Drosophila melanogaster: one gene and its partners. The protein of the gene in region 3 interacts with the protein of the main gene of each other region in a pairwise test. Each region holds a gene or a part of one and is shown on either strand. Other genes may lie near its edges.

Region 1 (4,807 bases), on a different chromosome or scaffold from region 3:
AACACAAGAACGCCAGTGTATAAAAACTAAAAAAAAAAACCAACACTGGCCATAAAAACCCAGCCAAACGAAACTAACAAACAAAAATGCGGAGTGGCAGCCACGAATTAGTGCTCCTGGCGGCATTTATACCCCTGCAATCGAAGAAAATGTGGCACCTGTGCGCCGTCTTGGCATCTGTGCCTCCAGTTTTCCCCCGTATCTGTATCTGTATCTGTGTACTTGTATCTGTATCTCACGGAATGGTGGCTATGTCTTTTGTGCGCCGCCTTCGGTTGGCGAGCCAAACAAATAAACTTGCGGCCAAGTTATGACAGTCGAGGGCCGCAGGAAACATTATTCTTAGTTAGATGCTAATTAATTAGGGGACGCGGAGGAGTTGGAGTCTCCGCCAGCAATTCGGTGGCAGCCATGTGGGCAGCGACACGATCTCGTCGAACCAGCGGCAAAAAAAAAGCCCGAAATGCACACGAGAATGACACTTCTTGGGTATAAATTTTGTTGACTGTTGTGTTTGCCAGCCCCTGAAAAATGACCTGGGGGATGCGATGTGTACAGAATGAGGTTAAATGGAAGTTGAATTCGTTGAAGAAGACACTAATATAAATTGCCGCACGTCGGTGGAATTTTACTTATTTAAAGAAGAAATATACCTTGGCATTTCAAATTAAACTTAAATAGTTCAAATGCGACTAGCTGGCTGTTATATTGCCATCGGATTTAATGGTCTAATTAGACATTTTATTATTTATTTTTGACATTGCATGAATGGGCTTTGTTTAGATTTTAATGAAAACAAAGTTTAATCAATGCTGTTTAAATGGATCCTTATTAAAATTGCAGAAGAACATGGTAAATATTGTTGCCCCATTTCCATCGTAATCCCAGCTGACAAAAGAAAATATTTTCCCCCCAAAAATTGAGATACACATTTTCATTTCGTTGGTAGATGGTTGCAGGTAAATGAAAGAGATGTGTGTTTATGTACAAAATAAATTCATAATAATTCCCATGAATTTCCAAGCTGCACACTTTGTATATTTATAAATATAGTTTTATACACCTTTTTTAATTCCACAAACATATTTCACATTTTATTCAACGCAACGTTTGAATGAATAACGTATTTTTCGGATTCAGTGGCAATGAAATAAAACTAGCGATTATTGCATTTCATAATTTCATTGCTAATCAATTTTATCACTTTGCTGTCTTAGTATTTTAGTTAGATTTGAATAAAATATTGAATACAACCTGTTAATGGTAGCTATGTGGATGCATCTATGAACTTCGGTGCTTTAAATTCTTTCACGCACATCGAATTATGGGTTTTAGGCGCAGTTTAAAGCAGATTGGGCAAATCTGCGGCAAATCTGTTGTTCATTGGAGGCATACTCAAACGTCTCATTACCATAATATAGCCAACTCAATTCCGCCTGGGCCCACCAACTTTTTCTACAATGGCAATAAAGAGTTCCCCTCGCAATCGACCACGAAAAGTTTTTTCAGCGGTATTATCATAATGATTGCGCCCCAAACGGCGCTTGGGGCAGATTGAGGGACTCGCCCGCCTGCTGCCAACTTGTTTACACAAATTTTAATTGGTGTAATTATGATTTTTACACGAAATTAATTATGCATGCGCGATTGCGGCTGCATCTTCGCAGCTCGCGGTAATCGCTACCCATCGGATGCCCAATCTCAATCTTAAATTTCTAAACCATCCCAAGTGAGCAAGAAAAATAACTCGAGTTATTTACAAAAGCTGATGATTGCGGGGGGAAAAAGCGAAAGCGAGGTCTCTGGAACTTTAATTGCCAAACATACTTCTACTTAATTACCCCGCAGAACAGCGGGAAAATTATGAAATCCAGGGGCCTCGTTGCGCGTCTAGCGGAGTGTGAAGTTGCCAAAGACTCGAGGTTGAGGTTGTACTGCGGAATATCTAGATACATAACTGCATCTGCGAGATAAGAATCTGTGTGCAACAGCCGTCGGAGGCACAAAGTGTTCGGAGAAAGATCTTTCTTTAGGAGATAAGGGCAGTATCTTAGCGTTTTACGACCTGCCGCCGCTTTTCTTCTTCGCTTCTTATTTATAAAATACAGCAGGTTAGTTTGATTAGCCCCAGATGTTGACAGCTTGGCTCTTTCTTAATTTGTGTTTAATTAATGAGGCAAGGGGACAGCCACCGTAAGAAATGGGGAGAACGGGTTGGAAATGATATCTTTTGATCTCTGGAATGCGCCTTGATGAGATACATTTGATTGGGCCAATATTCTTCTGGTTTCTTTTCGGATAAATGAATTATTTAGTTAGTAATTGACATAAACTTGTTTTTGTCGCACTAATTGATTGTTTGCAACTCAATATTTATTTATGCATTGCAAAGTCTCTATGGGGAAATCCTGTTTATTGACATGATTGCTTTGAGCATTGAGCACTGATTGTTTTCAAGTTAGGCCTTTCTTCACTCTCAACTCACCTAAATATTCCAAGAGTTTTGAATTAGCCTTTGCGTTGACTTAAGGTGTATATTGATTGTATTCCGTTTGCACTTTAGTTTGTAGCAAAAAACAACGATTTCTCTACTAAAATTTCAAGCACTGTTGTTCACTGGGGCAGCAAAAGATACTCTATCTGCTGGTTTGTTTCGATATGTTTGAGCACTCCGTGGGCATTTTCTCAGGTAGCACATTTCACACACTTTGCCGCACGCTGCTGGCGGCCGCAGGTGCACAATTGCCGCATCTTGGGTGCCACTTGCACCGTATCTTATTCCTGACCAATTCGTATCTCTGCACTCGCGCTGCGCGGATTGCGTATCCGTATCTGTCGGATCTCTTGGCGATTGGCTGCCAGCCGATTAAGCCTGAGATGGGTAACTGCGTTGATTCGCGACCGCGTTGCCAGTGGCCAAGGCGTTCTGTTCTTCTTGTCACGAGAGCTGGATTGAGACTGGGGGCACAAACTGAGACTGAGACGGCGGACTGCGACAGCGACTGCGACTCTTGTAACGCGCGGCACGAAGGTCGACGAGCGATTGAATCCGATTGAATGTAACGTGCAGCGCACCACTCCGTTGCATGTAAGTGTGGATGCTAAGAGAGCGAGCGCTTCTCTTTTGTGGACTCTGTTCGCTCGTCGGTGGAACTGTTTACAAAGTTTATGTGTGGAGAGCGCTGTAAAGGACCTGCAAGGATTTATATTATCAAATTAACATTTAAATCATAATTTGGAGTTGTTTCTATGTTTTTGTTTCCTTAAAACTTATCATTTAAGCTACAGTATAGTTTATATTGTATATGCTGCGCTAAAAACTAAGTTTTTCAATTCTCAGTAAAATTATCCACAATGGAGTTGAATTTACCTGCCCAGGCCCAGGCACTTCACCTGTGCTCTGTGAAAATCGCCGAGAAACTCCAAATCCGATAGAGTTTTTCCGCTCTCTTCCGGCTCGTATAAGAGATTTCCGTCTGCGGCGAATGTGGAACAAAACAAGAGCGAATTCGAACTGTTGATTTGTTTTTACCCTCCCCGACTTTTCCTTTCGCTCGCTTTTTCCGGCGAATCCGCCTTGCAGTCCAAATTGGAAATGGCGGACCGCCGCCAATCGCGGCCTCTGATGAATTTCCAATGATTGACGCCGGCATTAAGCCGAAATCGCACATACAACTTGTCATAATTTCCAGCAGAGAAATGCGATCTTGTCACATTGGTGCACCATATCATATGGACATGTATGATTTACGAACTCTACGGTTTTCGTGGGGCATGGGGATTTATAGCTACGCACTTGTAGATTGTATCGCAGAGGTTGTGGGTTGATTGATTGGTCTCACCAGTTGATCCGACCCTTTGTTCTTCGCCACTTTCGAATGTTTGACTCGGTGACACAATTTCGAGGGGCCCACAACGAATTCCTCGAGTGGATCGCCGCTAATCAACTGATATCGCTCCGGGCCAGATCGCCTATCGAAAAGCGAACAGCGTTTGGAAAGGCGTTATCTGGAAACCGTAACCAATTTGTATCATATATGGTGACTGTTTATGAAAGCAGTACTTCTTCTGTCTCTTTGTCTGTTTTCTTAGTTAAAAAAAAAAAACATGTTTTTTGTCTTCTATTTTATGATTACAGACACCCAGAAAGCTATGAATTGGATATTAATTTAAAAATATATACAAATATTCTGCAAGATTAATGTAAATGTTATTGACAGGACAACTCCAGCAAATCAAACATTCTGTCTTGTAGTCAATTTAACTTTGTACGTAGTTTTATTCGATAGACTCTTTGCATGTTCCTATCAATTGGCCATTTGTCACATCCGAGTGTACAAACAAACAGCAGACAGCAGAAGCATTGCCAACTTCCAACCATAACTCATACCCATTCCGGCCAAAGCCGTTGGGCATGCGCTGTCTGTCAAACGGCTTGTTCGCCTGCCCGGCAGTCAAAGAAATCAGCGGACGAGCGGATGAGCGGCGGCCAAATGGTTATGATCAGGAATTTACACAAAAATGCATTCAGCGCTGCTAATAGATATACAAAATACATACATAGATAGAACAAGCAAATGTTGCGTTATCACGAGTAAATATTTACATAGCCTTCAAGGACTCTGTGAATACATCAACCCCATGCTGCGATACTGGCATAGTATCTTTTGCCACATTTGTTTATTGTCCCAGACCTTTCCCACTCCATAAAGTATTTATAGATACTGACATTCTCGATGGACTGCTTTCGAAGATTAAAAATTCTATCAGATACCCATTACTGTATTTTATCTATTGTGCAAGAACG
Region 2 (4,899 bases), on a different chromosome or scaffold from region 3:
GTTTCTTTGCATTGACCTCAGCGTCCTTCACGTCCTCATCATCGTCGCCGAACAAGAGTGAAGCTCGATTGCGATCCAGGGGCTTGGCATCCAATGGCGTCGGAGAAACCGATCGCAGAGCATTGAGAACTGGTGATGGCGACGTCGAGGTTTTGGGCGATGCAGCCAGGCTAGAAACCTTGCCAGCGCTCAGCCTTCGCAGGGCCGTGGAGCCGGCGTCCCGAATGGCCGCTGCTGTGGAGGTCGCACTGATCGCGGGCGACTTGTGCTGCGTCTGCTTCTTCCAGCTGTGAAATCTGTTCACTTGATTGTCCGTTTCCGAGTCCGGCGACTCCTCGCGCAGCTTAAAGGTCCCGAATTGCATAACACCCTGCGGCACTAGGGATTTGACCTTAGGCGCCGCAGCAGCCACTACATGCACCTTGACGAATGAGAGCCCGTATGGCACATGACGATTGAAGGGCTGTGTGCAGACTATCTGAAGCAGCTTCCACTTCTCCGGCAGTGCACTCTCCGCCAGCGAAGTGCTACTGAAACAGCGAACGCGATTTGGATTGCTGGAATTCTTGCTCTCGATGGGCGTCATAAACGAACTGGATAGCAGCAGCTCGCGGAAATCGTCCGCCTGGCAGCCTGTTCGACTGACCAGCACCTCGATGAAGGCGGCATGTTCGTTGCCAATATCGATGCCCGTAATCTGTTGCGGCTCCTCGAACTCCAGCACAACGTATGCGGATTTCTCTCCCGGCGCCTTGGTTCGCCACTTCTTGCCGGCGTTTTCCTTGAGCAGATTCGCCGCTACGTGCACCTGGCCAGCGGGATTGCATAGTTATATAGATGTACATTTGTTATATAGGAGCATTACTCACCGCATCTTCGCTGCTCACTTCGCGTACGGACTTGAAAAGCGCAATTGGCATTTCGCAAGTCGCATGAATTTACACTGAGACGCCGATGATTTTGCGGCAAATTGCTTTGCCGACAGTTGCGCCTGCGATTAAACTGATTGTCGAAAGGGAATTGCGTCGGTTGCATGTGTTGCCATGTGCGCTAGAATGTTTGTTTATTTCTTTTATCTTTTGATGATGGGCGGTGAATTATGCTGATTTTGCTTAACCAACTATTTCAAAAATAAAACCTGTATTGTGTGCACTAATTGCCCATCACTAGCTGTGCTGACAGCCTAGCTGGATATCGCTAAATATGGTCTCTTCGTCACCATATCAAAATACTAGCTAGTTAATTGGTTAACCAACACTGGTCACTTCAATTCAACTTTATTTCATTACGTTTATTAAGAAAATGCTAAAGATCTGTTTTGTTTGCAAAGGTTATTATAATTATATTATATTATATTATTCATTATATTCATTATATTATATTATATTATTCAAGAGATTAAATCGCCAAAGTGGCAGCGCTGGTGAAAAGCAAAAAAAAGGTGAAAGTTTTGAAATGATAAATTTGCACATAGAGATGAGCAGTGATTGCAAACGGTGACAAGAAACAAGATAAATATTTAGTAATATATAAAAATAATAACAAACCGTTAAGAAAAGCTAACGAACAGTATGACTGCGCTAATTTATTATATTTAAAAACAAATGATTGTTTATTAGCAAATACTATCGCATTAAATGGTGACTGGCGATAATAACGGTAACTGCAAGCAGTGAACAACTATCGCCCTTCCCTGATTCCCCTTGTCAATGTCGCTGGCAAATAAATAAATAAATATCAACAAAATACAGAATGAGCGCGGATGCGAGAATCAAGCAGATGGCGCCATCGCTGGACACCACCGAACGGGAGAGGGAGCACCAGAACGTGGATGCCACCAACTCGAACTCGGAGCCCAGTGCCAGCGATTGGGTGAACTTCTCGCAATGGATGCACTGCTTCTGCGTGGTCACCTTCGATCTAAATCTTGGGCAGGCGCTGGAGCACGTCTATCCGCCGGCTTTCATGCCCAGCGACCAGGAGGTTAGCAACATTTGCTACATGGCCTTCCCGGACTCAAATTCCGGCTGCATGGGCGACACCAAGTTCCACATGCGATTGCGCTGCACAACGCGTCGGGATTCCTTGCCGGGCTACAATGCGGAATGCTCGCCGGCGCTGCGACAGGATGGCTCCCACTACTGGGGCTTCGTCTACTTTCGCCAGAAGCGGGACGCGAATCTGCCGCGTGGTTACTTCCAGAAGAGCTTTATAATCATTACACGACTGCCGTTCTTCAATCTGTACTACGACATACTCTCCCAGCTGGCGCCGCGCTACTTTGAGGAGGGCACCGACGTCCTGCGTCTGGCCAGCGAGCAAATTAATCGCCAGTGGCCCGGCCTGCGAGTGGGTAAGCCGCTCCAGCTGCCTCTGCTGGATTGCAGCTATCAGATCTGCATACCGCGGACCAGCAGCAGTCGAAAGTCGACGGCCGATGGAGGCATCGCAGGTGGTGCGGTGGAATCGCCACCAGCCATGGCTGCTTGCCCGGCAGCCAAAGTGCTGGCCTCCGTTAATGAAATCGAACTCTTCCGCTCCCTGGACTTTGTCATGGAGCAACTGTACACGCTGTGGGAGCTGGTCATCACCGCCGAGCCCATTGTTGTCGTTGGCACCTCACCCGCCGACTGCTCCCACATGGTGCAGACCCTTCTGGCCATGATTGCTCCGCTGGAGTATTGCGCCGAGGCGCGTCCCTACTTCACCATTCACGACAGCGAATTTCGCGAATTCACACAAGAGTGCAGCAGCAAGACCACACTGCCCGCCTGCATTTTGGGCGTCACGAATCCGTTCTTTGTGAAGCTCCTGAAGGATTGGCCGCACATGCTGCGACTGGTGGACAACCAGGTGAGTGTCCCAATCCCAGTTAACGCAATACAAAATATATCCGTCTTGCTCGTTTTCAGAAGAACATGCAGCAGCAACAGCATCTGCTGCTGGGCCAAAAACACGCAAGGAACATCGCATCGGCCACATCATTTTCCAGTTCAACGGAACTCGGTGGCCGTATAGCACTGAAATCGAACACCAATCTCAATGGCAGCTCCAGTTCCAGCAATGGCTCGGGCGATGCCTCGTCCGCGGGCCTGCACAGTAAATATAGGCCGTACCTGAAAAAGGACAAGGCGCTGATCAAAAAGGTGCTGCTGGGCATGAAGACCAAGCGGCCGGAGCATGTGCAAACCGCACTGATACGACGCCATCTGCTCGAGCTGACGCAAAGCTTTATGATACCACTGGAACGGTATATGGCATCACTGATGCCGCTGCAAAAGGACATCAGTCCGTTTAAGTCGGCGCCGAATGCCAACAGCTTTAAGCTGGATGACTTTCTGGGCACGCTGGAAACCGCTGGGCCGCAGCTAACGTCGCCGCTGAAGGGCGACTGGAAGGGCCTGTACAGACGCTTCTTTCGATCGCCCAATTTTCGCGGCTGGTACGGTGCACGTCATCGGGAGCTGCAGCTAACGCTGCAGGATCTACAGCTGCAGGCGCTATCCGTGGCGAATCTCGAGCACTGGGCGCACGACAAGCAGGAGGTGGAGATCATCGATATGATACTCAAGCTCAAGCAAAAACTGAATCTCTATGGCGACAAAGCCACGCAGCTGGAGGGCAACAATGGCTCAACTCAGCAGCAGATACGCGCCCAGATTGAGTGCATGAAGGGCTTGCTGCCGCCGGATCTCAAGAATGTGGTGAATCTTTGATGGTAGTAGCTCAATCCTCGTCCTCCTCCTTCTCTTCTGCCACTTATCACTTTGGCTGCTCCACATCTGTCTGCTAGTATCCTGTGATTGTGTGATTGTGCCTGGCGGTGCTCTTTATCAGTGTAAATAGATTTTAATCGGCGATTAGTCGCCGTATTTGTGTCTAGTTTAATTCTAAAGTGAATCCAAGCGAAGCGATGAATGTTGTTAGTTCAAACTACAAGTCAAGTATTAAATGTAATCGATGTGTCCCTTCCATATTTTCACATCCATGCGAAAACAATGCTCATGTCTCAAAATGTCGAAAACCATGCCAATAATATCTATGTGGCTGCAGCTTGAAACCACTAACCACAACATTGCAGTCCCTTCCTCTCCAGCTTTTTACTGATTGTGAATGGGAGTTGTGAAGCCAGTTGGTTATACCTTCAGTTTGTTTCTTTTAAAACCGTTGTGCAACTTTGTGTGTATATCGCTTAAATTGTTTATGTCAAATATAAGTTAACTATAATACATTAGCCAACAGCTGCAGCCTTTCCTTATGCCAACGTACATATTCCGTGGATTGCAATGGGAGTTCCAAAGTGTTTATTTTTTTTTTTATATAAATACAAAACAAAAATGACAACTTAAGCGCTAGAATGGTTGATGGATAAAGGATGGATTGATGGATGCAATCGTTCGTTCGATTGTTGCTCCTTGGAATGCGCGATCAGATGAGAAAGACTATATCGTCGGCGACCATGATCTGATTGTCCTCGGTCATGCGATGCACGGCGGCCTCGATTTCGCCAGCGGTGAACGGCTCCTGGCTGCCAACGTTGATGGCCGTGGTGATCCTGGCCAGCGCCAAGCTCTGTTCGCGTGCCTCGCGAAACAGTCGCTGCAAATTGTTCTTGAACTCGCCCAGGCGGGCATCGCTAATGATGGCCGGCTCCGTGGTCGATGTGGCCACCGACTGCTCCTCACTGGAGGGGCTGGCCATCAGCATGGCGACCGAGCGAGCGGGCAGAGAACGACGCGTTTCGCGACGCGTCAAATCGCCAGCATCCGGCTGTGGTGGCTCAATATCCTCCTCATCGCTATCGGCACCGACGGTCGCTGTGCGTGTGCGTTTGGAGCGTCGCGATGGTGAGCGCTGGCTAGATGCCTCACCGTTGTCATCCTCCGCATCGGAGCCGCT
Region 3 (6,146 bases):
GTGCGACTGCAGCATGGCCATCGAGCGCCATCCAATCGCCATGGCCATCCAATAAATTGCTGCCCCCGGAGTGTGTCCGATGGCAACCAACTCAAGTTGAAATTGGTCAAAAGTTTAACATATTTGCGTGTGTGTGTCCAAGTGGCGCACGGGTATGATGGGGGGGTAGAGCAGTTGGTCGTTCCGGTCGTTTTTGGCGCATTTTCGGGGAATAAACGACCCCGCAGCATATACGCTTTTGTTTTTGTCGAGTGGCCTGCTCCCAGCAATTTTGGAATTTTGGAATTTAAGTACGCAAACGGGCAGCTCAAGCGTTTAATCGTTTAATAAAAGTAAACAAAAAATTGGCGCTTACTTGAATAAAGTTAAAAACTTCATTTGGGTTTCAAATTATAAAAGTAATCAACTTCACTATACATAATTCAACAATAACTCTTATAAAAACTAAATAATAATAGTAATAATAAATAATAATAATAATAATAATAATAATAAACAATAAGACTAACAATAAATAATAATGAGTATTTCAACAATTAATAAAGCTCTTCCTTTAGATGCATAAAATATATTTACTGCTAGTTAACATTACACATTCAAAGTAATTCATATTTCGATTTCATTTCAATATTTGACTAAACTTTAACTATCAGATTTAGTTTATCTACGAACTAAGCTTGTGCTTCAGAGTAGAGGTACAGAATTGTTGCACGAGTATGTATTAGATAATCTCATAAGGAACGTATTACGACTAAGGCCTCGAGGCGAAAGGCAGCGCCTAAGATCTACCGCAGCATTGCAGGGTAAGTAATGGTTATATCGTTACTTCGATATCCGACAGCGCACTGGATAACAATCTAATCGGGTTAATACAAAGGCGTCGCACAACCGTAGGAAAGCTTTGACTAGCACTTTGAGATTCGAGTAAATGACTAAATAGATTTCAACGTGGGTAGGCGGCCATTAGGAAGCCTAGCTTTGGTTAGCATCTCAGTAGTTTACTGCAACACACAAACGGCGGAGGCGCCGCTATATTGGTTATTCAAGCGTCGACGCATTCCCTCCAGATAAATGTCGCGACTGAAGAGCCCAGCAGCCAAGGGAATTCTGAAGAAAAAGGAAAGTTCATTAGAATCCTATTTTCTTTGTAATAATTCCAATTACTCACGCATCGGTTCCTGCACGTATGAGTGTTCGAAAAAGCGCCCAAACTGGCTTGTGGTCCGAGGTGGTTATCGATGGCACCGAGTCATAGAGCAGACATTGGACATGCGGCTGCGTGGGTGTGGATACACCAGGCACTAGGGTCTGCCGACGGATGACTAGTCCCTGCATTTGGCGGTACTTGTAGAGAATGCGATCCGTGTAGGCGGGAGCTCGCTGCTTCGACGAGGTATCAAAGTTCTGGCTGCCCGGATCGTACTTGTACGTGGGTGGAAATGTGATGTTCGCCTCCATAAATCCTCGGAAGGCGGCGCCATCAGCCAGAACGGAAGTCAACTGATCCGTGTGCATGTAACCGTGCGGTAAATGCGACGGCAGCGGGAACTTGGTGTTCTGAATCCATTCCAGCAGCTTTTCACGCGGCTCACCCAGTCGAAAGTTAAGATCGCCGCACCAGAAGACATTGTCAAAGTTCTGCGTGACATCTTTGTTCTTATGCCGCTGATTGGGCAAATTGCGAGGCAAGTCCAGAGCATTGATTATCCGCTTAACGTCCGACACACGCTCTTTAACCTTCTGCTGGTGCGCCGTTAAATGCGAGGTCACAAACAGCATGGAAGTGCCAAACAGGCAAAAGGATATGGCCACGGCACCCTTTGTCCGAAAGGCGGAGCCCGTGCGCACCGACATAGATGCGTCCTCGGGAACGGAGCAGTACCAGATCAAGTCCCGTCGCATATACACAGCCAGGTGGAGGGTACCCAGAGTTGTGGCATGGAAGAGCACGTGAGAGGGACCTAGGGTCTCCTGAATGGTGACCTCCCACTCGAAGCGGTCTGGGGTGGACTCCTGTGTGCCCATTACCACAATGTCGGGCACGTGCTCCACATTGGCTGGCAGCACAAAATCATTAAGTTGTCTGCAATAAAAAGAATAATTGAGATATGAACTCATAAGCTTTTAGACTTAATTTATTAAATTTACATACTTGGGTGGACTGTGGCCATTCATATTCCAAGTTCCCACAAAGACGGTAATCTCCTTTTGCGGCAGCACGCGGCTTAGCTCACTGGGACCCAAAAGGGAAGTTGATCCCAGCCTGCCATCCAGGTAACTTCGCTCCCTGGCGTTATCCGCCGGGATCAGATTCAATGCATGTGCCGCCATTAAAGTCTGGCGAGCCAGATTAGATCCCGAACCCTGTCTTTGGAGTGTCATGTTCTCGTGCGACATAAACCTCACGCCTGGCTGCTCCTCTATGTGTTCTATTCCATCTGGCTGAGTGGCTATATTCGGCGAGGACATGTGCTGTGGTGTGGTGGCTCTTTTAATGTCACCAGGTTCTGTGGCTGCCTGAAGAGGGGGTAACTCTTGTCCAGGTGGATAGAGCTTTAAACGCAGTCGGGATCGGCAGGCTGATACTGCCATGGGTCGAATGGGCGAGCGATTTTGAAGGCTTTCGCTCCGTGCCACCGAAGCGCTGGCCGCAGCAGGGCTGCAGTGGGCAAAGAAGGTTTTGCTGGCCACCGGTGATTCTGGCGCACTGGCACACTCACTGGACGGACGCGGTCGGTGTGAGGATCCTTCGCTGGAGTGCAGCGAGCCCGAGTTGTTGTCCACCATGCTCCAACTTAGCGAGAGGTTATCGCGCCGCAGAACACTGTTGCTATCCGGTATGGAGTTATAACGCACGGTCACCGGCGGTGTCATCGGTTTCTTTTCCGCCTTGCAGCACAGACTGAACTGGTGACTAAATCTATTGTGATTGGGTGAGCGATGCTTGGGCGACTTGCGCCGCATCACCACGTCGGCTCCTCCATCGCTTTGGGAACCAGCATCCGTACTGTGCCGGTGCGAGTGATTCTTTCCTTTCGAGGAACTTGGCTTTGCACGCCTGTGGAAGCTGATCAGCCCGCTGTGCGACTTCTCCAGCGGCAGCGTTTGGCTTTTGAGGGTGCTCCCATTGTTATTGACATGGTTTGCAGACGTATCTGCATTGCACTTGGCGAAACTGACATCGTATTGGCCACAGGCGGACACGGGTCTCTGTTGTAATCTTGGCGATTCGGGTGTCACGGGATGTGGCTCCACCTTACTAGGTCGCTTGCTCAGCAAACCGAACAGGGAGCTCGCGGTCTTGTGACCGGATCTGGGACTGCTGGTGGAACTGGTTATCCGTTCCTCACTTCCCGCGCTGCTGTGCTGCATGTTGGCTTTAGTCCGAACGAAATGATTCTATCATCTAAGGTGAAGGTGCTAAGTGGTTATCATGCCCCCCTTTTGTCAAGTTAATTCGCTCTATCTGCCGGATCTCTCGAACCGAGCTCATTGTGCGATGGCCTCTGGCTGCCGGCCATATAAATAGTAAAGCCAGACGTCATCGAGCGAGCACAATGCAAATGCGACTTTGGTCCGGCGTTCTGGCTGGTCGCAATGCAAATTATTTTGGGCTCGGCGATGACGTACACGAAATCAGGCTAATTGGGCTGACTGGCGGCGATTGCGTGTGCTGTTCTGTAAGATTTTAATGAAGGTAAACATTTAGGCGGGTTGGTAATACCAAGGGTATAATACACTTACTAACCTGCAAGCAACTAAATAAAAAAAACACATATGTGGGCAGATCCTTTGGGGCGAGAGAGCTGAAAGGATTCAGAAAATCAATATGCTGGGTAATAACTGTGGCGACACCGTCGCGATATATAAAATGGGGAGGATTGTGGGCGATTTGGGGGGTGGTTGGTCGCGGAAGGGTGGTCTTTGGCGACGACGTAACAACATTGGCATGCTGCGGCGCCCACGCATCCAAGCACTGAGCACTCAGCATCTGAACGTCTGAACACAAGCACAATATCCGTCGTCTGCTGGCTGATTCGATTCTCTGGGATCGAGAGATTTATAATTAGCAGACCATTGTTCCCGTCAGCGCAGCCTTGTTGTTCTTGTGTTGTTGGCCTACGTCTAGCATAAAAGCAGCAACAATAGCACATAGCACACATGCGATATTCAAGTTCAGGTTCAGGTGCGCATTGATTTCGCTCTTGGTGTGCTTTTCATGTTCCGCACTGGTACGCACTACCCTTCCACGCTGCTGTCACCTATGCGATTTATGTAATTTTTGTATGATTTACCGCGTTCCAATGTTGTTTACACCCAAAAACTCCGAGCAAGTGCGGAACTTGTCGTGGGAACTGCGATTTAGGGGTGGCAAAAGTGGGCAGCCAACTGCCGATAAGTGGGAGCACGTATCGATAGGTGCGGGCGGGGGTGTTTCAGTGGCTGGGTTGTGACACGATAGATTTAAAGAAATATTTCTTAAATATTAATTAAGATTTGTATTTAATTGTGTTTCCAGCAAAACGTACCAATGTAATATTTATTAGGTAAACATACATAACAAAGCGCTATATATTCAATACAAAATTGTGGGCCAAGTACCCTTCAAAAATTTATTAAGAGGAATTTATAACATTATTATTAAATGTACTTTATTATTTTTTACAATTATTTAATAAACCGTTTCTTATATTAAAAAAAATAATAAGGTTTAATTAACTGTATTATACAGCCACACTAGAAGTGCAATCGAAATCGACTTGCTATCGGTGCTCGTAAGGCGCATCACTAGTATTTCGTTTCGGTCGGTACGCGGTTCAGCGTTTTTGTTCAACGGATTAGCGCAAGTTAAGCACGATGGCGGCCCAGACGATACTGTTTGATTTCACGCTGGACAAGGACAAGACGGCGGATGAGGAGGCGCGCCTCCAGGTGGCCAAAATCCTGCGTAACGAGCTGGAGCAGCTGTTCCCCCAGCTGGAGCTGGCCTACTCGATGGAGTCGCCGGAAAACGGCTACTTTGCGGTGCTGCACGAGAACAAGGACACGGTGATTACCTGCCGCATCTTCCAGCACGGCCTGCTGACGCTCAACGTGGAGTACTTCCTGCCCGATGGCAAGGAGCCGAGCATATCCTTCGACGTACGTATTCAGTGCAATTTAGATTCCTTTAAAAAACTCAAAAAACAAGCAAGCAAACACCCGACAGCAGCACCACCACCCACATCTTTCTTACCCTCCCAGTTTCCGTGTCTCGGCTGATTAGTTGGGGAAAGGGTTTTCCACCCACCGGGTAAAATTGATTTTCCGCGCACTTGTACCCGAGTGTTGTTGCTTCATCATACATACATGTGGGGGTGTGTGCATGGCAAGTGGGCAACCATGTGGGTGGGTTGATTGGTTGTGTGTGTGAGTGTGTTCCTGACCACTCGGCGAGCTCAAATGGCCGGCACTTGGTCAGGGTCAGTTCGTCCGTCCTTGGCCTCAAGTGATGGCTGCCCCCATCCCAGCACTTTCACCAGTTTCTATTATCTAACACCTCTGAAGCACACATCACATACATAGCGATTTCAGCTGGGCTTTGCTAGGTTAACTTGTCGTTCCGGTCCCGTTTCTATGCTTTTCACATTTGGCCGGAGCACGTGGGTTGGGTTCGACTCGCGATCTATTGATTGGCGCCCCTTTGGGGCATGGTACCCATACTAATAAGAAGAAAAACACCCGGAATATGCGGCCCTTATTACAGAAACCAGATTTCAGGTTACACCCTTAGGCACGCATTATTTCATTTGATACTTAAACTTTCTTATACCAGTTTACTCTACTTACGCATGCACATATAAACAAACCTAAGTCAACAAAATGACTGTTGATACCACAAATCTGAGGGTTTTCAAAATGACAACCAGTATTTGTTTGTAAAACAACAAAGAATATAAAATTTGATAGAATATTTCAATTTCTTCCATCATTTGTTTAAGTACATCTAAAATGCTAGAGAAAATGTCCCATGTACATATGCCTACAGCTACGGTAAGCTAAATAGCATCAAAAAAATTAAATTATGTCAAAAAGTCTAAAATTGTTTTGTTCTATAACTATAGCTTTAACAAAATCCCAAGTAAAATTTTTATAAAATTATATTT

The links. The genes of interacting proteins can lie anywhere in the genome.
Region 1: the proteins of INPP5E (region 3) and smal interact in a two-hybrid assay, tested with the Drosophila melanogaster proteins (one large-scale study listed by BioGRID).
Region 2: the proteins of INPP5E (region 3) and CG3309 interact in a two-hybrid assay, tested with the Drosophila melanogaster proteins (one large-scale study listed by BioGRID).

The regions. Positions count from the first base shown.
Region 1 is NT_033779.5:6,177,378-6,182,184, reverse strand, and holds the start of smal (smoke alarm), read right to left. Parts: upstream 3,053-4,807; 5' UTR 2,486-3,052; intron 1-2,485.
Region 2 is NC_004354.4:5,326,123-5,331,021, reverse strand, and holds CG3309 (uncharacterized protein), read left to right. Parts: upstream 1-1,674; 5' UTR 1,675-1,752; coding exon 1,753-2,853; intron 2,854-2,912; coding exon 2,913-3,716; 3' UTR 3,717-4,347; downstream 4,348-4,899. Other genes in the region: XRCC1, read right to left, coding at 1-808, 870-920; Mcm3 (minichromosome maintenance 3), read right to left, coding at 4,429-4,899.
Region 3 is NT_037436.4:12,275,886-12,282,031, reverse strand, and holds INPP5E (inositol polyphosphate 5-phosphatase E), read right to left. Parts: upstream 4,378-6,146; 5' UTR 4,296-4,377; intron 3,807-4,295; 5' UTR 3,749-3,806; intron 3,679-3,748; 5' UTR 3,373-3,678; coding exon 2,153-3,372; intron 2,084-2,152; coding exon 1,169-2,083; intron 1,108-1,168; coding exon 999-1,107; 3' UTR 556-998; downstream 1-555. Other genes in the region: Sms (spermine synthase), read left to right, coding at 4,858-5,142.